Diceros bicornis minor: one gene and its partners. The protein of the gene in region 1 interacts with the protein of each later gene in a pairwise test. Links are inferred from orthologs where the notes say so. Each region holds a gene or a part of one and is shown on either strand. Other genes may lie near its edges. The genes, in order: POGZ, NFYA and ZXDC.

The links.
Region 2: the proteins of POGZ (region 1) and NFYA interact in binary tests that used the Homo sapiens proteins (3 or more experiments, as listed by UniProt). The two-hybrid records come from large-scale screens. The link is inferred for Diceros bicornis minor from reciprocal best matches to the Homo sapiens genes POGZ and NFYA.
Region 3: the proteins of POGZ (region 1) and ZXDC interact in binary tests that used the Homo sapiens proteins (3 or more experiments, as listed by UniProt). The link is inferred for Diceros bicornis minor from reciprocal best matches to the Homo sapiens genes POGZ and ZXDC.

Annotation. Positions count from the first base shown.
Region 1 is NC_080743.1:55,723,732-55,731,224, reverse strand, and holds the start of POGZ (pogo transposable element with ZNF domain), read left to right. Parts: upstream 1-4,481; 5' UTR 4,482-4,763; intron 4,764-7,493. UniProt on the Homo sapiens protein: Plays a role in mitotic cell cycle progression and is involved in kinetochore assembly and mitotic sister chromatid cohesion.
Region 2 is NC_080753.1:24,261,532-24,269,564, reverse strand, and holds the start of NFYA (nuclear transcription factor Y subunit alpha), read left to right. Parts: upstream 1-4,930; 5' UTR 4,931-5,020; exon of another isoform or gene 5,021-5,571; intron 5,572-8,033. Other genes in the region: ADP-ribose glycohydrolase OARD1, read right to left, coding at 928-1,040, 2,054-2,112, 3,147-3,291, 3,648-3,686. UniProt on the Homo sapiens protein: Component of the sequence-specific heterotrimeric transcription factor (NF-Y) which specifically recognizes a 5'-CCAAT-3' box motif found in the promoters of its target genes.
Region 3 is NC_080741.1:90,769,945-90,776,954, reverse strand, and holds the start of ZXDC (zinc finger protein ZXDC), read left to right. Parts: upstream 1-3,907; 5' UTR 3,908-3,945; coding exon 3,946-4,867; intron 4,868-7,010. UniProt on the Homo sapiens protein: Cooperates with CIITA to promote transcription of MHC class I and MHC class II genes.

The DNA of each region.
Region 1 (7,493 bases):
ACTCACAGAGAAGTCTTGATGACTGAAGTAGTTGCTGCTCATGCATTTCTTGCAAAATACATTTTGAAGACAGAGACTTTCAATTGCTTCTTAATGAAAGCTAATGAGGAACTCTTCTTTTAGAAACCCAGTTTTAAAACTTCCTCTGGCTATTTCTCATCTCCTGAGAATTTTCTGAGCCCCCAGGAAAGTCCTCAGCTCCTCTAAACATAAGGAGGTGGCAAATAAAATTCCTAAATGAAGCCCAGCAGCAGCCTCCGAGTCCCCATTTTGTATTTGACACTGGCCACACATAGACCAGCGTTTGCTTTCTATTTCCCCGTCAAGTGAAGCATTTCAGTGTCCTCATACACGTTGACTTCTCTTGACTCCCAGGCTCAGTGCGATCAGCTGTCAATCTTTCTGAGCTGGGAGATGCTCAGATGGTGAAAATTTCTCCACTGTTTTTCTGTCTCTTACATCTTCCAAAATGAGGGCCCAGCCGGTGGCACAAGCGGTTAAGTGCGCACGTTCCGCTGCGGAGACCCGGGGTTTGCCGGTTTGGATCTCGGGCGTGCACCGACGCACCGCTTGTCAGGCCATGCTGTGGCGGCGTCCCATATAAAGTAGAGGAAGATAGGCATGGATGTTAGCCCAGGGTCAGTCTTCCTCAGCGAAAAAAAAAAAAAAAAAGAGGAGGATTGGCAGATGTTAGCGCAGGGCCCATCTTCCTCACACACAAAAAAAAAATCTTCCAAAATGAGTAGCTCCCTTTGAGCTCCTGGTTTGAACCACCCTGAGTGTGTGTTGTAGAGCAGGATGCTTGTTTTTAAAGAAATCTGGCATTGTCCCCCACAAAGCTGCTTTCTGCCTGGACTGACCTCACAATCCTCTCTACTCCCCACCTCAACACGTACTGGTTAGCCTCACACTGAACCTGAGCAGTCAGTGATTGGGTCTGTATAGTAGCAAAATGACAGCAGAGAGGCACCCATGGCTCACTGCTTTTGAAGACATGCTGAAATCATTTGTCTCTCTGCCTTGACACTGTCCAAGCTACAGGTGGTTCCAATTTTCAACTCATGGCAGAAACCATAAGCCAAGGAAGCAAATAAGTGTTCCCATAGACTGTAGAAAAGAAATACTCTTCTGCTACCTAACTGTGAAATGCATAACTTGGGACTTCCATTAACTTTTGACCTTCCTTCCTAGAAACCCATACGGAGAGGATTCCTTTTTTCTAAGTTGGCTACTGAAGACTGGCGTAGCTTTTTAGCAGCAGTATTAGGGTTCAATTTCTTCAATATACCCAACTAGATTGGCTTTCAGACCTCGCCCCAATATGTCACAGAGGCACATGTGAACTGATTTCTAAGGATTCGACCCAGGTTATTTGTTCTGCTGCTTTGTTTCCCATCATTATCAAGATGGTTCAAGTATAAGAGAAACCACAGCTATCAGTTCTACTGCTTCACTCCAGAAACTTGTGTGTTAGCTGACGATAGCAAAATGTTCCAACACTGCTCAGATTAATATGGACGTTCCCTCTTTAGCACGGGGAATACGTTCCTGGAAATGGGAGCGCTAACACTATAGTCTTTTTTGAGATGCTGCTCCAGTGTTGCAAGGTGGTAGAATTTTCTTCAAATCCTCTGAAGTTATAAAATGTCTCTACCCTTGATTTCTTCCAGCTATCAGTCATTCAACTGTTGATTGATCCTCCCAGACGGTGGCAGTTTGGATACCTTTTATAATGTCAAAGAGCTTACTCCATTCCCTGATTGTTGATCCTTACTCTTGTTTTCTGAATTCTTTACTCAAGGGTGCCTCCAGCCCCCACAAAACTCCTATGTTAACATTCAGCACAATATTCTAACTTTATTTCTCTGTGGTAGGCACAGCACTATCCCTCATACACATTTTGCTAGCCATTATGGGTCAAAACTGTCTCCCATGGCCAAAACTAAATAATAGAAAAATAAGTCACAGAGAAGTAAACAACACACCACGGAACTCACTCAGCTGAAGTAGCAGCTCCACAGCTCCCACCCTGGTCCAGGCCACCATCACCTCTCATCTGGATTATTGCAAGAGCCTCCTAACTCGTCTCCCTGCTTTCACTCTCGTCTCTACAAGGAATTCTCTATAAGCAGCCAGAGTGTTCCTTAAACATGTTAGCCAAGTCATATCACTCCTTGGCTTAAAATCTTCCAACGACTTCACTTGCACTAAGAGTAAAACCTGAACTTGGCTTCACTTTCTTCAGGTCTGTGCTCAAATGTCACCTTAATGACAAAGCATCTCCAATCACCCCACAAAAAATAACACCTCCCCACCCCCACACCACACTCCCAATTCCCCCATCTTGCCCTTTTCCCCATCCATAGCACCTATCACCATATCACATATTATATATTTATTAATATATAACATTCCCATTCCAAATACTTTTCTTACAATGTGATGTTTCTACTACTCCCTTTGAGAGATGTTCCCCACTCGCCTTGAGTCGAGGTGAGCCTGTAACGATAGTGGAAGTGATGCTATGTGACCTCTGAGGCTAGGTCACAAAAAGCCATACAACCACTGCCTGGTCCTCGTGGGGCACTCAATCTTGGAACTCAACCACTATGATATGAGGAAGCCCAGGCACATGGAGAGGCCAACAGCCAGCTGTTCTGGCCAACAGCACCAGCTGCAGTCCAAGCCAACAGTCATCATCAACTTCCAGACTTTTGAGGAAGCTTTTGAGTTGACTTCAGCCCCAGCCACTGCGTGAGACTCCAAGTGAGAACCGCTTAGCTTAGCCTAATCATCTCCCAGAACCATGAGAGATAATAATAAAATTGTTGTTGTTCTAAGCCACTAGGTTTTGGGACCATTTGTTATTCAACTGTAGATATTGGAATAATTTGTTTATGTGTATATTGTATGTCTCTCCCCACTACAGTATAAGCTTCATGAGTTCAGGGATTTTGTTTGTTTTCTTTGTTGCTGTATTCCCAGCACTGAGAACAGTGCCTGGCATATAGCAAGTACTCAGTAAATATTTGTTGAATGAATGATGCATTTTCAATATGGTATGCTAATGGTTATTGGCCAACAGTACATGGTACAGTCTGCTGGCCTAGATGTCATTGGCAGATAGCACGAGCTGGCACTTAGGGCATGGCAAAATATGTTTCAACAAGAATATTTCAGAGGCAAATTATGTTGTAATGAATTATAATAATTATTGTAGGAAAGCATAAAATAGGATTACAACTTCATATAGAATTTGTCTTTTGGTGATTGATTCCATAATCCCACTATGGGCTTTTCCAGACCAGGTCTGGAAAGGCTTCAGAGGTTTAGTGATTCTTTCAATTCAAATAATGAAGTTCTTTCTAAGAATGACTAGTTGAAATCACTCACATGTTTTTGGTATGAAGTGGAAAGAAAATGGGTGGTGGCACGTGCAGCCATGTGCATGGTGCATAATTTGGAATGCCTACTTCCACTGCCTATTTTTGTAGTCTGATGTTTGAATAGAGTGTGTATGTAAAGAGAAGGAATAAATATGGTTCTGGATCTCCCCAATGTTGCACCAACATTTAGCACTTGGTTTGGAGCAAATATTTGTGTATTGCTTAAAGAGCAACAACATCCTCAAATAACCAAGGAAAATATTAAAATTTTACCATCATCTGGGGAGGTAATAAATGACAAAATCTCTTAGCTATCCGGAAACGAGGTTAGTTTTTGTTTGGAGAAAAACAACAGGTGGATGGTCTTGACTAGACTAATCAATTTCTTTGGACCAATCCGTCTCAGCCTTGATTGGAGCAAAAAGCACAGATGTGGAGTCTACAGTTTCTTAGAACTGAGCATCTTGGCTGAGTCTATTTACCATGGTTTCAAAGCAGTTTACATACATGAATCACCTTGATAAGCAATCATGTGTGACTTCTTTCCAGAATCCAGAAAGGTTCAGGGTAAAAATGGTTTTTAAAATTTCTTCACTTAAGGCTACTGCCATAAGACTACTTGGTTGAATGTCTCTTGAGGAAAAGTGAGTGCCATTTTGCTGCCTTTGTTCCAATGACAGTTCTTGGTGCCATTGGGCCTCACCATCTGGCCTGTGGCATGAAGTTCCCCTCTTGCTTTGAGTGGAAAGTGGGGAGATTCCCAAAATTTCCTGGAAAGTCCAGGCAAGTGAATTGGGGAATATTTTCTTTAGAAATTCCATTTTTCTCACCCAAACCTAGATATTGTTTCTGAAGCTAATTATTCTTTATTTCATTTAAAAAAATGTTTTTATTTATTTATTTATTCGCAGCCCCAGACAAACTTGACTAGAAAAGAAGCCCGGGCAGGGGTTAGGATGAGCCCATGACGTGTCATGCGCTTCAACCAATTGAAAGGCCACGAAAGGGGGAGGGCGGAAGTGACGAGCCGTATCCCTCCGCGGGGCGAGAGGGTCGGTGGGGGGAGTCGGCGTCTCTCTCCCCCGCGCCAGCTCCCGTACACGGAGCCGCATTCCTTGGCCCCCCCACCCCCCTCCCTCGGGGCCCCCCCCCCGCCCCCCTCGGGAAAAAAATCCACCCCAAGTCACTCGAACCTGAGGGAGGTTTCCTTTCACCCTCCGGGAGACGAGCTTTCAACGGTTCCCTCTTCTCCGTCTACCCCCAAGCCCCCGTCCCCTCCCCTGCTCCCACCCCCTTCTCCCGGCGCCGGGTGCAAGGTCCCTTTAAGGCGACGGCGCCTTCCTCGGGTCAGACTACCGGCGGCGACGACCACGGGAGGTGAGTGAGCGAGCGAGCCTTCTCTCTCCCCACCCCCTGTTCCCGGGGGTTCCGTTATCTTTTCGCTCGGCGAGGCGTTCCGAGGCGAGACAATGAGAGGGGGATGGGGCGGGTACGAGGGGTGGGGGCGGGGGCCCGGTGGCGCGCCCCTCCGCCCCCCGCGAGTGGCGGCGCGGCCCGCGGCGGCGGCGGGCGTGGGGTGCGGCGCGGGAGCGCGTGTGTGTGTGCGTGTGCGCCCCGGGAGCTGCGGGAGGTGCGCGGCGGGCCGGCCGGGGAGGCCCCTGCCGGCCACCCCCGCCCCCCGGCGCCCGCCGCGGCGCGCGCGCGCGCGCACTCGGGCCCCACGGCCCCACACACACGACGTCCACACGCACGCCCGGCGCGAGGCGTCTCGGAGGAGTGGGCGGGCGCGGGCGCGGGCGGCGGCGGCCCGCTGGGGAAGGGGCGGGGGCGCGGGCGGCGGCGAGGCAGCGGGCGCGGCAGGAGGGGCGGGCGAGGGGGCGAGGCCGCGCGCGGGGAGGGGGGCGGGGTCACGTCCCCCGACGGAGGTGTAGTGCGCGGCCCTGCCGCCTCACCCCCGCCGGGGAAGGAGTGGGGCGCTCTTTTTGAGCGTGAGCAGCAAAATGAGTGATTGGTGAGCCGCTCCCCTGCGTTATGTAATCCCCGCTCGGACCAATCGCACATCCCAAGCTTTAGTGCACTGCAGTTAGTTTACAAAGTCTCCTCCCTCGGCCCTAAAATTTCTTTGGGATGGCGCCGTGATTTATAAAATGGGATGGGGTAGAGAATTTTTATTTTCTGATGGTTATATCCTGCCGCGGTGGGCGCCATGTTTATCCCAGGGACTATTTTCTGGAATCTTAGCACCTACTGAAAAGGAGTGACGTCGCTGATCCACCTGCGGTCCCTCTTTTCTGCGAGTTGTCCTGATTTCCTCTCCCGTTAGAGGCGGGATTCTCTCAAACTGTTGATAACGCTGGACGTTTCTCAGCTCTCTTATATTGGACATTCTTAGCTCAGAAAAGGGTAGAGCTGAAAAGAGTCTTCTAAGTTGTTTAGCCCAGTCTCGTTTTCCAGATGGAAATCGAGATAAGTTGTACTATCTCAGAATAGCTGTCTTCGTGTTGCAGACTGGAGCCCAGCCCTTTACATTCTTTTAAAAAGACACCTCCCACCGCAGCTCAAAACCCCACAGAAACGGAGTTTTACTTTCTAAGGAATTTTCCCATGTAGATGAAAGGGAAAGGACGGGGGCGGGGAGGGTTGCTTCTTGGCGAATGACACTGAATTTGGAATCCGTTGCTCTTGGGACTGGTAGTTGGACTCTGAATTCGAGGTGTTCACAATCGTTCTTAACTTAGGGGTGCATAAAAAATACCTTGTAGATTGCTGGAAGTGCGGTTGTGAGGGCCTCATCCCCAAGTCTCTTTGGGTGAGATGGGGAGGGGGGTGTCATCTTCTCTACATTTAACCTGCAGTCCTTCGTTGAGAATTATTAGTTTAGCATAGAAGTGCTCAAAACATAATCTTAAAACAATGAAATTCAATCTGTGCCCTCTATTTCCTTCCCTTTTTCTGTATTACGGTTATACCAGCTGTGATGTTGGTATATCTTAAAGTAAAGGAACTGACAAAATGAAGAGTCGAGATGCACAGGATTTTATTAGAGTTTCTACACTCACTTTGAACCAATGGTATAATCTAGGAAAGCAGTTCTCAAAGTGTGGTCCACTGACCCCTGGAGATCCCCTTAGACCTTTTCAGAGGAGCCACGAGGTCATATAAGATGCTATTTATTTTTATCACTGTTGTTTGCACTGATAGTCCTAAAGCAGTGCTGGGTGAAACTACTGGTGGCGCTTTAGCACAAAGCAAGGCAGTTGCATGAAACTCTGTTATTAGTTACTTGAGAATGTTGTTGATAAAGCAGTAAAAAATGATTGATTTTATTAAATCTCAGCCCTTGAGTACGTGTCTCTAATTTTTAAGAATCTGTGACCAAATGGGAAGTAGGCATAAAGCGCCTAATGCTGCCTACTCAGATATGAGCCTTGTCATAAGGAAAAGCACTTAGGAGATTGAGTTGAAAGCTGCTCATTTCGTGGAACAGCGTTTTTACTTGAAAGAATGACAAACGACAGTTTTTCACACTTGAGTGTTTGGCGCGTGTTTTCTTGAAAATAAATAAAGTGAGCTTATCACTTTGAGGAAAACACTTGACGGTATTTGTTACCAATGATAAAAATTTGAGAGTGAAAATGAGAATTTTTAAAAAGTTGACATCTCAAGTTTGACAGCTTTATAGCATTTGAAAGATTTTTCTTATAATATCGGTGTTAATTAATGACTGTGATTTTTTAAAAATATTGTATAATGAAATGTATCAACATTTGGAAGATTGGCATAACTCACTAAATCTCTATTTTCCCAATGACCAATGCATGACGTTTTAAAATCACCGTGGGTGAAAAGAACCTTTCAAAATGTAAGATACACCAGTAGATTTTAATGTCACGAAGTACGAAAAGTTCATTGATATGGTTTCAGATCCCAAGATGCAATTATCCTTTAAGAAACTGCCATTTGTTGAGTTTTAGTATTTTGTCAATATAAACAGTTATCTGAAAAGGTTTATAGAATATTTCTCCCTTTTCCTACTGTGTGAGGCAAGATCTTTGTTATAAACTTAACCAAAACAACATATAGCAACAGACTGAATGCAGAAACAGC
Region 2 (8,033 bases), on another chromosome or scaffold:
GCTGACTGCAATTCAGGTCTTCTCAACATGCTGGTGGGAAACTTCAACCAGCCCACAACACTACTACCTGGCACCTTCCTTCCAACAGGTTATTATTGACCCTCAACATCCCCAGGGAAAAACAAAAGGCTTAAAATTGCTAATTTCATATAATGGGATAATTAAGTCCCCCCAAAAGTTGTGATTAAAAAAAAAGTTCCTGATACATAAGCCATGAACATATTAAGATCAGTGTAAGATGAGGGACCCTGAGCCACATTCATAAAGTAACTTGGGCTTAGAATAAACCTGCATGGTCAGCACTGACTCAAAACCAGAGTGAGAAGACAAGAAATGGTGACTCCAAGCCTATTTCCTGAAAAGGAAGCAAAGGGGATACTGAACCCTCAGTGTCATTCCCTTAAGTTCTCAATAGCTGGGATCTAAAATGTTACATCAGGAACATATTCTCTGGCTACAACCCACGCTGACCACAAACAAGCATGCAATTTAAAAGGCAGTGAGAATTTACAACTTTCTTCACATAGGATTAACAGGTTTGGGACATCTGAAGTGGCCCAGAGAAATCACAATTGCTCAGTCTTGGCTCTTTAGCTTATATTGCTTTAGAGAGAGCAGCTAAGCTTCAGATAGAGGATGCCCATAATTCAACCAAGGTGACTAACAATGGTTCCTCCCTACTAAGTAGGCTGAGGCAGGTGTGTGTTTTAATCATCCTGATTCATTCAACCCAGGCTAAGAAATAGGTATGCCTTAACTTAAGGCCTGACAACTGGTTCACTAGTGATTTTAAAAAGTTTTGAAATTTGTCCACCTTTAAGTCTATATTTTGGCTTAAGTTAAGCTTTTAAGTCATTTGTCTCCGGGTAAGACAGTAAACCCCACCACCTGAATTAAGTCTTCATTTAGGGCCCTGGATTTCCTTGCCTGGGCATGGAGAGGTCAGTGACTCCATTCTTCAGACAATGGGACTTCATGGCCTCTAAACTCTTCCGTAAGTTTTCATAAGTTGGTTTGTGTGAAGCCCTTTTCTTTGTAATCTGAGTACAAAGAACAAATTCAAACTTCTGTTAATCCAAAATGATAGCCAAAGAAAAACCATCACATTCTCCCAACATCCTGATAATTAAGTATATTTTTATAGAATAGTCTAGAGCAAGGATGACAAATGTCATAGACTGTCCCTTCCAGTTATGTGAGGCCCTCAGGAAAATCCACTAAATAGGGCCTGAGAAACCCAGACACTGCCATGTAATACTCTTTCCTTCTCCCAATAAGCCCAGGAGATTAGCAGGCTATGCCTATTGTCTAGTGTTTTTAAGCAAGGTAGGTGCAAGCCTTTGTGCCACTTCCAAGAGAGAAGCTGCATATCTGTAAGAACCCATACCACCTGAAAATTTCCTGTTAAGTCTATTTATTTAGAAACTGTGCTTGCTTGCTTTTTGTTTCTCTATAAGAGAACAGAGAAACTGGTAGCATTCCAAACCAGAAGTCCCATCGGCCTTAAAGACAGCATTCAAAGGGGCTAGGACATGTCCCCACTCAGCCTGCTATCCAAATCAGGCTTATAGTGAACTGGCTGTATGTCACCCAGCACCATCACCAAGAAACCACACTCTTTCTGGGGCTGAAGACCACTTGGACAGTGGAAAAATCCCATTGAGGCAGCAGGTGGGAAAGGAGCTGAGTATTACCTGGATTTGATAGGGAAGAATGAGAGAGAAACCTCCTTGGACAATCTGTCTCTTGAGACACTACTGTTTCTCTCTCACCATGATTAGGAAGGAATTAAGTACGGAAGGCATCCCTAACTTCTGCAAGTCTTAGAACCCAGGCCTTTGGCGGATGTCACGGTACTCTTTCCATGGAGCTGGGATGCAGCCTCATGTTCTTTCTAATCCAGTGCTCCAAACAGCCACCACCACTGGATCGAGATCAGAAGCTTTTGACATCCTTGGCTCGTCTAGACTGGAACATCACGATCAACACAATTGCAGTACAGCCCATTTGTTCACCAATCCTTAGAGCGTACTGAGAATCAGCCCCGTCTTACCAAGTAATATATATATCGCCCATCTCTCTTCAGCACAGCCACTTCTCCAGATTTCTTTTCTAAGAAAAACAGGTATTTAATAGCAGAAAGAAAAAAGAAAACCAAAACACTGATCTCCACTCTTAGATTTTTAAAAAATCTTTACAAATCTGAGTTTACCTCAGGAGAAATAATTTTCAACTCTGAAGAAACCTGCTGTCTCCTACGAACATTTTGCTCCTTATCGCCTTCCTAAATACTATATTCGTTAACTTCCAGCTTTCTTAATCGTTTTCCTCTCACCCCATCTTTTCTCCTGCCCCTATTTTCAAATACATCCTTATTTCTTCACTAAAGAAACTTTTATGTCTACTGCTTTGAAATGTTTTAGAATGTACAGCATTTTTTACTTGCCAAATGTGTATTCATTCAATAATCATCTTTTTTACATACAAAAAGCTAACACGTTAAGCATTATGGGGAAACAGAGGTATAAAAGAGTTCCTAATTAAACAGTTTTCAATCAAGAGTAGGTGTCATGTTTACAAATAACTACAATACAAAGCAGTAAGAAATTGCTCTTTTAAAGGCTGGGGTCAGAATCATCAGTGGAAACTGACTCCGTAAGCCTGGACTGTGGTCTGAGCAACTGTTTCAGAAGCTCCACAAGTGATGTGAATACACATCTCCGGTTTAAAACCATTGGTAGAAAAGTGATGGGAGGGTGTGTATAGGAAGAGGAGGTTTCTAAACTCCTCTTGGAAGAATAAGTACAATGTGGATGAAGAGAGAATCTTGAATGCCAAGCTAACACCTGTGGACTTTGCTAAGCACTTCAGAGTTATTAAAGGTTTCAGAGAAGTGGAGTAATATTATCAAGAAAGTTTTATGACAGAGGAGGAAGAGATTAGAAACTTTTACAATTCAGATTTGATGTGATAAGGACTCAGACTAGAGGCCATTTCTGTAGAGGAAACAATCTGAAGAGTTAAAAGTACTCAGCGATTAGGAACTCCCTCTTTGCATGTATATTTTGTTTAATAATTAAAGTATAACAGGAGGTCAAGAGATGCTCTAGCTAGGGCAGCAGACTTAAGCTGTTTTCAAAACTCACGTTGATTTATCAGTTCCTGCACTCCTCCAAATTTCTTCTTGAAGAGGACAGCTATCCCAGCACCCATTCGACAATCCTCACTGATACAGTGCGCTAAAGAGTCTGTTTTGGGGCATGCAAAGAGGTCTCCTTTCACATAAGTGATCTAAAACGTGCAAAAGGAAAGAAAATGTTTTATTAGATTCAAAAAAATATTAAGCTATTTCTCTCATTTTCCTTTACTGTGTCCCCCACTCCCTCTCCTCCCCTGCCCCTCCTTGATTTAAAGCCAAATCCTCAGAATTTAATTTAAGGAGTTAACGACCACGAATTAAAGCACGTGTAAAAGGCAAGAGCTGGATGGTCTCTGCCTAGCACTGTATTAGCCTTTCAGAAGTAAATCAGCTGGAAAGAGAAAAAAAAAAGGCAATTCAATTATTGCTTTAATTAAAAAGTGTTTATGCATTTGACCTCAATCTTTCTGAACTTCAGTTCAGCAATAAGTTAATAGTTGTTACGCACTCTGCTTCCTTCAGGATCTTCATTAGGGCTGCCGGCCATGATACTGAGTGGCTATTTCCAGAATGTGTTTCTTCAGCTATGAGAAGGAAAAGGAAGCTAGGATGCTTAGGCAGCCTGAACATATTATACATTCAGATTGCCCCGACCACGCACTTAATAATTTTCCCCCCCAACGTTTATCGCTGAATTTGAGTGCGTTCGGCCTCTAGAAAGTAACACAAAACTCTCTGGTGCAAGCAGCAGCAGCCTGCCTCCCGAGCCACGCCTCCTCCCTTCTCCCGCCCGAGCCAGGCGGGTTTAGGACAATCTCCTTTTTCCTGCACCGCGCACAAGCATTTCCCCAGTGGATCTGGCCTAGAAGCAAAAAGGAATGACCTGGCCACAGTCCCCTTAAGCCGCAACGAGGGAGTGCACCGGCCGGGGGGAGTGTCCCGCCGAGCCGCAAGCAGGGGACGGGGAAGGCTCACCTCCTCTTTTTTTGGGGGGAAGGAGTCTAGAGAACCTCCCCTTTTCCTACCCCAAGGCGGGTCAGCGAGGGCGTGGGGCCTGTCCTGGAGTCCCGCGGGAGGGAGCGAGGAGGCTCGCCCAGAGTCCCAACGTCCCGCGATTACCCTTCACCTGAAAAGGAGGCGGCCGTTAGGAGTCCCGCCCCGCGGGGAAGGGCTCCGGATCCGGCCCTGGTAGGTGGGGAGCGGGGGACGAGCCCAGACGCGGGACCAATCCCGCCACAGCCTTTAATTGCGCGCGCCTAAGATGGCCGCCCAACCCCGGGAGCGGGGCGGAAACGAGCCCCTCTAGCTAACTAGCCGAACCTCCACTCTTTGGTCGTGGCCGCCGAACTTCCGGCGGTAAATTCCGCGGAGTCTCCCGCCGCCGCCCGGGCATGCGTAACGACACAGCCCACCGCGAACGGGGCAGAACGGCGCTTGCGCATTAGCCCCAGGGGTGTGTCTCCAGTGGCCGCATAGAAGGGGGAGGGCAGTTGGCACAGGAGCTAGTTAGCGCCTGCGTAGTACTATGTTCAGGGCGGTGTTTGAGTCGAAGGGTCTGGCGCTTCCAGAAGGCGCCTGCGTAATCCTTCGGCGGGGGGGTGGTGTCAAATCGGGGAAGTGGGCGTGGCCGCAGGGGACGCCTGCGCAATGCTCCTTCAGGTGGGGGTGGGGCGAGCCCCGAGCAGAGGCTAGTGGGCGTGGTCTCAGAGGCGCCTGCGCGGAGGCGGTTGGAGGGAGGCCCGATTCCCCTTTGTTCGGGTTCGCCATTTTGCGAGGCAGCGGCAGTGGCGGCGGCAGCGGCGGCTGGAGCCTCTGATTGGGTTTCGGGGTCCGGTACTGGAGCCAATCAGCGCGGGCAGCGAACCGGGGGAGCGAAGCACGGTGAGCGTGAGGAGCCAATATCCAGCGGCCCAGAGCCGGCCCCAGCGCCCCGATTGGCGGGTCTCGCTGACCACTCAGGAGAGGCCCAGGCTCCCGTCGAGCCCGGGGAGTCGAGCTGAGCCTCGCCGAGCCGGGCGGCTGGCGGTGCGGCCCCGGAGCCTGCGAGCGCCCCGGGGCACTCCCGGCCGAGGCCTGCAGGGGGCCGCCCCGTGCGGGCATGGCGCCCTCGGGAGCCGGCACCTCGGGGTCCAGACCCCGGCGGGGTGCTGGTGCCGGTTGGGGATGCGTCCTCGTCCCCCGAGACTTAGGCCCAGGGTCTCAGACCCCAGGCTCGGAGTGGTGGGCTTGCCTGCCACGGATGCTCCTCCGCTCCGGCGCACACACGTGCCCGGGGCCTCGGCCGTTTCCTGCCGGTCGGTCGGGCCTCACACTTAAGCCTGCCCTTGCATCTTCCACGCTCCGGTCCTCGGGCCGGGCAGTCCTCCCCGCGGGGCCCGCGTCCCCAGCCCTCCGTGAGCCGCGTCTGCCGTTTGCAGCCCTCTGGGGTCGGGAGGGGGCCCTGGGTAGGACGCACGCGGCGGCCACAGGGCCCCGGGTGCGGCGGGAGAGGGGGCGGGCCCCCCCCGGCGCCCCGCGGGCCCTCCCCGCCGTCTCCCCGGCCGGGGAGGGGTCCGTTAGTGCGCCCACTCCCCTGCCCCGCCGCCCCTCCCGCACGCTCGGCCCGGGTCTTCGGCCCCGCGCCGTTACCACCCCCTTTTGGCTCGTCATTTCCTCTCCTCCCCGCCCCGCTCCCGGGGCAGCACCGCACACCTCCGGCTTGGAGTCCAACCAAGCGGTCTCCGTTTCTCGGCTGGGCTGTAAGGCCAGTCCATTCGGTGCTTGGAACCTCATCGTAGAAGACTGTTAGCCCTGCTCATTCCTTTTCCCGAAGGCTGCACAACCTGCTTTTCATACTAGTGTTACCCACTGCTCGTCTTGTGAACTCTCCCGTCCTTGGGAATGTACAGTTTTTTTCTTTCACCTTTGTGTCGCTTTGAATGTGTAAGGCTTGTCTCTTAGCTCAGTTCATAGCCATGTCTTGGTTTACTTTTTTTCTAATATACTTTCTAATCCCGTGTTAACGTTTTCTTAGCAGATGTTTATAGAAACTTAGTGTTGTGGGGTTTTCGTTAGGGTGGAAGGGACTCTCCATTGACAACCACGTCTCCAGCAGTTAGTATCCAGCGGGCATAGATCTGTGTCCTGGGGAGCAAGTAGGTAGAGGGAAATAAGAACCTTTTCCGCCTGGTGGAGATTGACAGGTGAACAGCTGATTAGTACCTAACGGCTGGTGCTGTAACGGGGCCAAGTTGAGTTCAGTGAAGGACTGATGTGTGAGCTACCAACAGCCTCCGTGGAAGGCTCAACATCGCCACACTTTCGATTGGCCATGAAGGACGATAGTATTTTTTCGGACAGGAAAGAATGGAAGAGCGTTGCTCACAAAGAAAAGAGCAAATTGTGCCGTGCGTTTGAGGCGAAGATAGGATAGGGCAGTGGGCAATGCTGGTGCGAGTTGAGACTGGAAAGCCGAGTTAGTACGAGCATTTGTATATCTTGATGAGGAATTTTGCGGAAGCAGTTATTTTGTGGAGGTTCAGATAGAAGAAATCTAGAAGTATGTTTTTTTCTAAGATTGGAAAAACAAGTTTCTGATTTGTGGGGTTCTGCCCGGTAACAGCAGCTGACTTCTTTGGGGGAAGAGAGGGAGATTTTTCTCCTAGGCCTTGAAAAGTTTTGACTCCTTTGAAGCACCTAGTGCAGTCGCTGGCACACAGAGTAGGTCTTCAGTATATGGTGCCCATTTTTATAATCACGTTTACTAAGATCATACAACTGGTAGGTTTCAGAAAACAACTAGTCCAGTGCTCTCTCTACTTGTCAAACTTTGGAAACAGTTTTTGTTTTCACTTTTTAGAATGTTTTTCATTGTTTAAATCGTTTTCTTAAATTCATTTAATTCTCGCTACATTATCCATATTAAAGGAGAAGCATGTCTTAGATAATTTTTAGAACACTTAGATTTGCCTTTGGAATAGATATTTTAACGTTGGTATTCAAAAACAGGTATATCTGGTCACTTGACAACCATCCAACACTTTCACTAGACTTCTTTCTAGAAGGCAGTTATAGTCTGGTCACTTTTTTGCTGAACACCTCTAGGGCCTCCACCTGTCTGCAAGAAGAACTTCTTTGCCTGGAATTTTGAGAACAGTGGTCTAGCCGCCAGCCTTCTCTTGACATGGGGCCTTTTAGTCTACTGTTCTATGCTGAAATTTTTCTGTCCTTGTTTTTATGCTCTCTCTTCGTTTGGAGTACTCTGCCCCCTCCCACATCATCATATAGTATAAATCCTCCTCACACTTAAGACCAGGTCAGATGTCACGTTTTCCTAAAGCTTTTCTTGATTTTTCTATTCCCAGCAGGAAGAAATCTCTGTCCTCACAGAGAAATCTCTGTTCTCCAAAATCCCGTATTACCTTCTTCCTCTTTTAGGGTTCTAGTACATTTTTACCCCTTCACTAAACTTAAAGACTCTTTGAAGTTAGAATCTTTGTCAGAGTTTTCTTTTTATTTCTGAAACCTTCAGGACAGTGTCTGGCACATCATTAGTGGAGAGGAGGAGCAAATTAGGAACTCCAATCCAGAAACCTCAGACAGTGCAGAAGCTGGACACGCTGTGTTCTCTAATCTTTTATCAAACAGATCAGGACCCATTGGTTGCATTGTGAAATCAATTTAGTGGGCCAATGCTGATATTTTTTTGTAATAAAATAGAAAATATCAAAGTGCATCTTATGTTACATAAAGATAAGTATTCGTGAAACGTTTGTTTCAGTTACTTTTTTTATATGTTGTGTGTGCAGTGATTTGTGATACGAAATGTGTTTCTTACTGTGAATCATGGTCAAAAAAGTTTGAAAGCTACTGTTCTAGTCTTTACTTGGTAGTGATTGTCAAATCCGGTAATTTT
Region 3 (7,010 bases), on another chromosome or scaffold:
AGCCTGTGGGATCTGAAGCTATCTCCAGGCAGACAATGTCAGAATTGAGGTAATTGCTTGGTGATGTTGGGGAAAAGCCACATGGTAGGACTCCCAACCCCAGCCCATGCCCACTCCTGCAAGAGCTTGGGAAGTCCTGCACACTTACGTGGGCAACTCAAAGTCCACTATGATGCCTTTCAGCCCATCAGCAGTGCTGGACATCCACCAACATCGGGCTGGTGGGATTTCTCCCCAAATGCAAACAAGCATGACAAGAGCACGTGTGTTATCTGCTTCTCTTCCCCTGGCTGCCCCAAAACACGTTCTACACACCCCTGCTTGGAGAGTACGGGGTCTGGGTGATTGGGGGTTAACAGGCAGTGCTCTGTGGCCCTCCCAATGTGGGAGGAATCTCTTTAGAATATGGAGTTCCTGTCTCTGCCTGAGACACCACCGGACAATGACAGCAACCCTTCAAGCCCAGCATGCAAGTGAGCACATCTGCCCCTCACTGTAAACCCTGTCATTTGTTGCAGCAACAGAGAACCGAGGGTGGTAGGAAGAGCAAGACAAGTCCTTTCCAAACATTCAATAAGGCCAATTTCACTCATTTAAAATTTTTTAAAAATACATAAGTCACTCTTGAAAAGCTGAAAAACAGAAGAGGAGAAACTCATCCACATTGCCACCAAATGTTTTTCATTAAATTTTTTTTCTTTTTTCTTTTATTGTGGTAAAATACATGACATAAAATTTACCATTTTAACCATTTTTAAGCATGCAGTTCAAAGTGTCATTAAGTAGATTCACGTTACTGTTCAACTATCACCACCATCCATCTCCAGAACTCTTTTCATCTTCCCAAAGTGAAACTCTGTACTAATTAAACACTAACTCCCCGTTGCCCTCCCCCAGCCCGTCAACCCCCATTCTACTTTCTGTCCCTATGAATCTGACTCCTCTAGATACCTCATGTAAGTGAGATCATATAATATTTGTTCTTTTGTGACTGGCTTATTCCACCTGGCATAGTGTCCTCAAGGTTCATCCATGTTGTCACATGTGTTAGAATTTCCTTCCTTTTTAAGGCTGAACAATATTCCACTGTATAGATAGACCACATTTTATTTATCCAGTAATCCTTCAATGGACACTTGGGTTGCTTCCACCTCTTGGCTACCATGAATAACGCTGCTGTGAGCACGGGTGTATGGATATATGCCCAGAAGTGGGATTGCTGGGTCATGTGGTAATTCTATGTTTAGTTTTCTGAGGAACTGCCATTATGCTTCCATAGTGGAAGAAATATTTAATCATAAAAATTACTTTAACAGCACTCATGATCTTTAGATCCCCCCTTACTTCAGAAACAGACACAGGGACTAGCACTATCTTGTGTATCTTTCCAGAAACTTTCTAAGATATGCAAGTATGTGAACATATGTGTAATTTTCCCTCCTATACAATTGGGATCCTCCTAAACAATGTTCTGCATTGATTTTTCCTAACAATATATTTTTAGTGGAGACATATAGAGCATAAAAGTCATCATTTCAGTGGTTTTTAGTCTACTCACTGTTTGTGTACCCATCACTACTGTCTAACTCCAGGACATTTCCATCGTCCCAAAAAGAAACCTCGCAGCTATTAGCAGTCACTCCTAATTCCCGCCCCCTCTCTCTATCACCTGGCAACCATCAATCTCCTTCTGCCTCTAGGGATTTGCCTCTTCTGGACATTTCATGTGGATGGAATCGTACAATATGTGGTCTTTTGTGTCTGGCTTCTTTCCCTTAGCATGTTTTCAAGGTTCATCCATGATATAGCATGTATTGGTACTTATTCCTTTTTGTGGCTGAATAATTTTCCATTGTATGGATATGCCACACTTTGTTTACCCATTCATCTGTTGACGGACGCTTGGTTGTTTCCATTTTTATTATGTAGTATTATGAATAATGCTTCTATGAACATTCATAAGCAAGTTTTTGTGTGGATGTGTTGTCATTTCTCTTGGGTATATGCCTAGGAGTGGAGTTGCTGGGTCATATGGAAATTCTATATTTAATTTTTTGAGGAACTGCCAAGCTTTTTTCCACAGCAGCGTCACCATTTTACTTTCCCACTAGAAATGTATGAGGGTTCCATTTTTTCCACATTCTCACGGACACTTATTCTTTTCCATTTTAGAAAATAGCTATGTTAGTGGGTATGAAGTGTTATCTCATTATGGTTTTGATTTGCATTTCCCTAATGACTAGTGATGTTGAGCATCTTTTTGTGTGCTTACTGACAATTTGTATTTCTTTTTTGGAGAAATGCCCATTGAAATCCTTTGCCTGTTTTTAAATTGGGTTGTCTCTTCGTTGTTGAGTTGTAAGAGTTTTTATGTTTTTAAATATATTCTGGATAGATCATTATCAGATATATGATTTGCAGATTTTTCTCCCATTCTACGGGTCGTCTTTTCACTCTCTTGTTGGTGTTGACCTAAAAGAGTTTTTAATTTTGACAAAGCCCAATTTGTTTCTTTCATTGCTTTTGGTTTCATATCTAAGAAACCATTCCCTAATCCAAGGTCACACAGATTTACACCTGTTTACTCCTAATGATTTTTTAGTTTTTGATCTTACATTTAGGCGTTTGATCCATTTTGAGTTACTTTTCGTGTCTAGTGTGAGGTATGGGTCCAACTTCATTCTTTTGTACGTGGATATCCAGTTGTCCCAGCACTATTTGTTAAAAAGGTTATTCTTTCCTCCATTGAATGGTCTTGGAAAAATATATTTTTGGCATAAATTCATAAAGATGTTTCCCATTTTTTTTTCAATATTATTGATGTACCTTATTTTTAAAGTACTTTTAATAATAAAACATTCATCTATTCAATAAATATTTACTGAGAGTCTTCGACGCTGGTCTCTGGGCATACAGCTGTGAATGAGACCCTGTCCTCGAGGAGGCTATATTCTAGAGGAGCGCACAGTGAATTAGTAGGGAAAGGGACAAATAAAGCAATTGCAACTGGGAGCTATGCGAGGAAACAAGGGGGGAGGAGGCGAGGAGAAGGAGCTGGATGAGGACGTACTTTGGACGAGAAGGCCACCTAAGTCTTCCCAGGGGAATCGGAGACCAGCGGGCAAGGTGCGTGAGGCACAGCCAGTTGGCCCTGTTGGAGAAACTGGGAAACAGATGGGGCAGAGGGGCGAGAAACGCGGGCAAAAAGGCGCGCACTGAGGGAAGACTAGCGAGGCAAGAGCCCCGGGGCGCACGGAGGAGGGGCATAGTTCAGAAGGTCACCAAGTCGGCCTCGGGAGAGAGGACTGGCAGCAGTGAGGCAGGCCGACGACCAGCTGCGAGAACCAGGAGTGACACAGAGGTTTGCGTCCGGTTGCGGGAACAGGAGGAGAAACGCAGGGACAGGCTCAGGGCCCTGCAGGCCAGGTCCGGAGCCGGCGCGGGGCTAGAGCGCAGCAAGCTCGCGGGGGCAGGCGTCCAGCCGGCCGGCAGAAACTAAGTGTCGGAACCCCGGTCCCCTGCTCCCGGCTCTGCGCTCTCCGTGACTCGCTTTCCTCACAGCCGTGAGGGCGAGGACCGCTGGCTGCTACGATTGCTTCCCTACCAAGACAACGGCCAGGACTGACAGGGAACCCGCACAAGCTCTCGAGGGCCCGACCCGCGGAGCGCCGGCGGGGCCGCGCCGGAGCGCCTGACGTCACGAGGCCCAGCAGGCCTCGCGCGACGCACCGCCCCCCGGCTCCCGCGCACGCGCAGCACCTCCCCCCGCCGCCGCCGCCGCCGCCGCCGCCTCCCGCGCACGCGCAGCTCGGGGCCGGACTCCGCGCCGCGCTCCGAGCCGGGCCTTGGCACCGCCCACCGGGGCCACACGGCGTCGCGCACGCCTGGGAGGGGCGGGGCGCGCTTCCTCCGAGGCGGCGGGGCGACGGTGCTGCTGGGCCCAAGATGGAGCTCCCGGCGCTGCTCGCCGCCCCGGCCCCGCGCGGAGCCCAACATGGCGACGGCGGCGGCCCCGGCCAGCAGCGCAGAGGTCCTGCGCCGCCCGGCCCCGGCCCCGCGCGCCGCCGCCTGCTGCTGCTGCGGGGCCCCGAGGACGGCGCGCCGGGGCCGCGGCGCGGGGAGGCCGGGGCGGCGGCGGCGGGCCCCGCGCCCAGCCCGCCCCACGAGGACGGCGGCGACTCCTTCGTGGTGCTGCTGGAGGTGGCGCGCGCCGGCTCGGACGAGGTCCCCGGGCGGCGGGAGCCCGTTCCCGGCGTCGCCGCGAGCCCCGCCCGCCGCCCGCCGCAGGGCCCCACCGGCGCGGCCGCCTCCCCCGGGCCGGGCGGCGACCCCTCGCACGGCCGGGACCTGCTCGTGCGCCTCGACCGCGGCGTCTTCACGCTGGCCGCGCCGCCCGCGCCGCCGCCCCAGGGCCCGCCCGCGCCGCCCAGCGAGGAGGCCGCGAGCCCGGACGCGCGCCGCCGCGGGCCCCCGGGCCCTGGCTACCGCTGCCCCGAGCCGCAGTGCGCGCTCTCCTTCGCCAAGAAGCACCAGCTCAAGGTGCACCTGCTCACGCACGGCGGCAGCCAGGGCCGGCGGCCCTTCAAGTGCCCCCTGGACGGCTGCGGCTGGGCTTTCACCACCTCCTACAAGCTCAAGCGGCACCTGCAGTCGCACGACAAGCTGCGGCCCTTCGGCTGCCCCGTGGGCGGCTGCGGCAAGAAGTTCACCACCGTGTACAACCTCAAGGCGCACATGAAGGGCCACGAGCAGGAGAGCCTGTTCAAGTGCGAGGTGTGCGCCGAGCGCTTCCCCACGCACGCCAAGCTCAGCTCCCACCAGCGCAGCCACTTCGAGCCCGAGCGGCCCTACAAGTGCGACTTTCCCGGTAACCGCGCGCCGCGGGCTGCGGGGGGCCCCGGGGGATCGGGTCCGAGTGGAGTCGCTCGGTTGGGTGCGGCGGCGCCCGCCCCCGGCTGCTCTGCTGGGCAGGATCGGAACTCGGTGGGCCAGGTGTGAGGAGCGGGAACGGAGCACGCTGGTGTTTGTGCTCTTGGTGTTTCCAGCTGATTCGATTTGACACCTTAACCCTGCGGGGGTTTCGACAGCGAGGTAGCACGAATAATCACAGCCGTCCTTCCCCACGGTGAGGACAACAGAGCTCTGAAGGGGCCTCCGGTTAATGAAAGTGATAGCGCATCTTCCCAGTGATTTGAGTTATGAGTCAGGTCTTTCCCTCTGTCTTGTCATTTAAAAATATTCAGTCGTCAGACGCTTACGGGGTGCACACCCCCTCACCCCCGCGAACACGGGAACCCGGGTGAATCTGGCCAGATGCAAGACTGTTAGGCGCTGAGGGCATAATCGCAGGTGCATGGTTCGTCACAGTTTTCTGCTTGTTATACTTTTATTTCCTTTGGACTTCACACTTCTGTGAAGTTCTAAAAATTATCCTGATTTTACAGATGAAGAGACCAATACTGAGCAACGTGGAAAAAATCCAGTGGAGGGTTCTTGCTCCATTGTGATCGCCCCCAGTGTGGGGAATGTGAGGCTCCACACAGAGAGCTCTTCACCAGGATAGGCAGGTGTAGGTGCTCTAAGAGGGAGAGTGTGCCTTCGGAGGAGGAAGAGGAGATTCCTGCCTGGGAAAGAGTTGGTTTGGGGGACTAGGGTGGAAGGCAGTGCTGGTGGGTGAAACCACAGAGCCAAGGCAGGGCATGTGGGCTGTGCTGAGGGCCTGTGGGAAGTGAAGTTGGAAGGGCCAAGTAGAGGGTGAAGGACTTTCCACATCCCGTACATTACAACAGAAACTCAAGTGTGCCCAGCATGCGCCCAACGTGCATATTGATTTGTTACATATATGCAGTTCTGTCCTAATGATGTGTTATGAAATATACTCAAATGTGGGGATTTTGAAAGGGTGAAATGAAAAATATCAACGAGATTTAATATTTTCTTCCTACATGCCCATGCACTGTCTTGTGCGTTCCTCTTTGTGGAGAGCGTGGGTTTAGGCCACTGATTCAAAACCTTTCTTGGTCATATGCTCTGGGAATCTGATGGTGGCTTATAGGCCGCTCCCTAGTAAAATGCACGAAGAGCGTCATTCTGAGTATAATACTGGGAGTCCAGCCTGGTCTAGGGCTTGAGGTCCCCCTGAGGGTTTTGAGTTGGATGGTGAGTGGGGCATCAGCGTTGGAGATGGTAGAAGCAGGAGAGGGACCAGTGAAGCCCACATTAAGTGTTCCAAACCTGAGTTTCCTGAAGGCAGATGTAGGTAGAGGCAGTGGCAATGGTGAGGAGGCAGCATTGAAGGCTGTGATGGTCCATTGTGCGGAGGGTGGTTCTTGCTAAGGCAGAGAGATTTAGCCTGTTCAGATTTACCTGACAGACTGTGTGAATACACCAAAACCCAAAATGGGAGGGGAGGGCGGGCAGATTTATGCAAAAGGGGAGGATTTTAGGGTGTTTAGGAAGGTCAGCATTTCCCAGTTGAGTGTTGCTCGGAAGAGCAGGGCTGCTTGGGCTAGTACTTTTATGCGGTGCTGTGCAGAGTGTGGTTACAGATGCGATGGTAGCATGTTAAAGGCTCTGAGAAGAGCTGTGACAAAGACATCTGATAAACATCTTGTAACGTGACGTTTTCCACCCGATTTGAGCACTGAACCTTTGGGTCAAAGGAGAACTACTGATGTGGGAAGTCTGGAAATTGCTGAGGTAGGCCCCTTTCTGGTGGCTCAGCTGGGGGTTGAAGGTGCAGGTGATGGGAAAGGCCATGTGAGGAAAGATGACCTCGGAAACCTCCTTTGACAGGGCAGGGAACCCTGAGGAAAGGGGCAAGAAGAGAGAGAAGCCCGATGACAGAGGTGGGGCCGCCAGTTGCGGAAGGTGTCAGGGAGGACATTTGTAAGTGTGGGGGATGCAGCATCGCCCCCAGGGGTGGGTGAAAAAGTCTCAGCCTCGCAGTGGTTTGTGGCCCTTCCACACTGAACCCGACCAGACAAAATCTTGTTCCTTAGGATCTGATT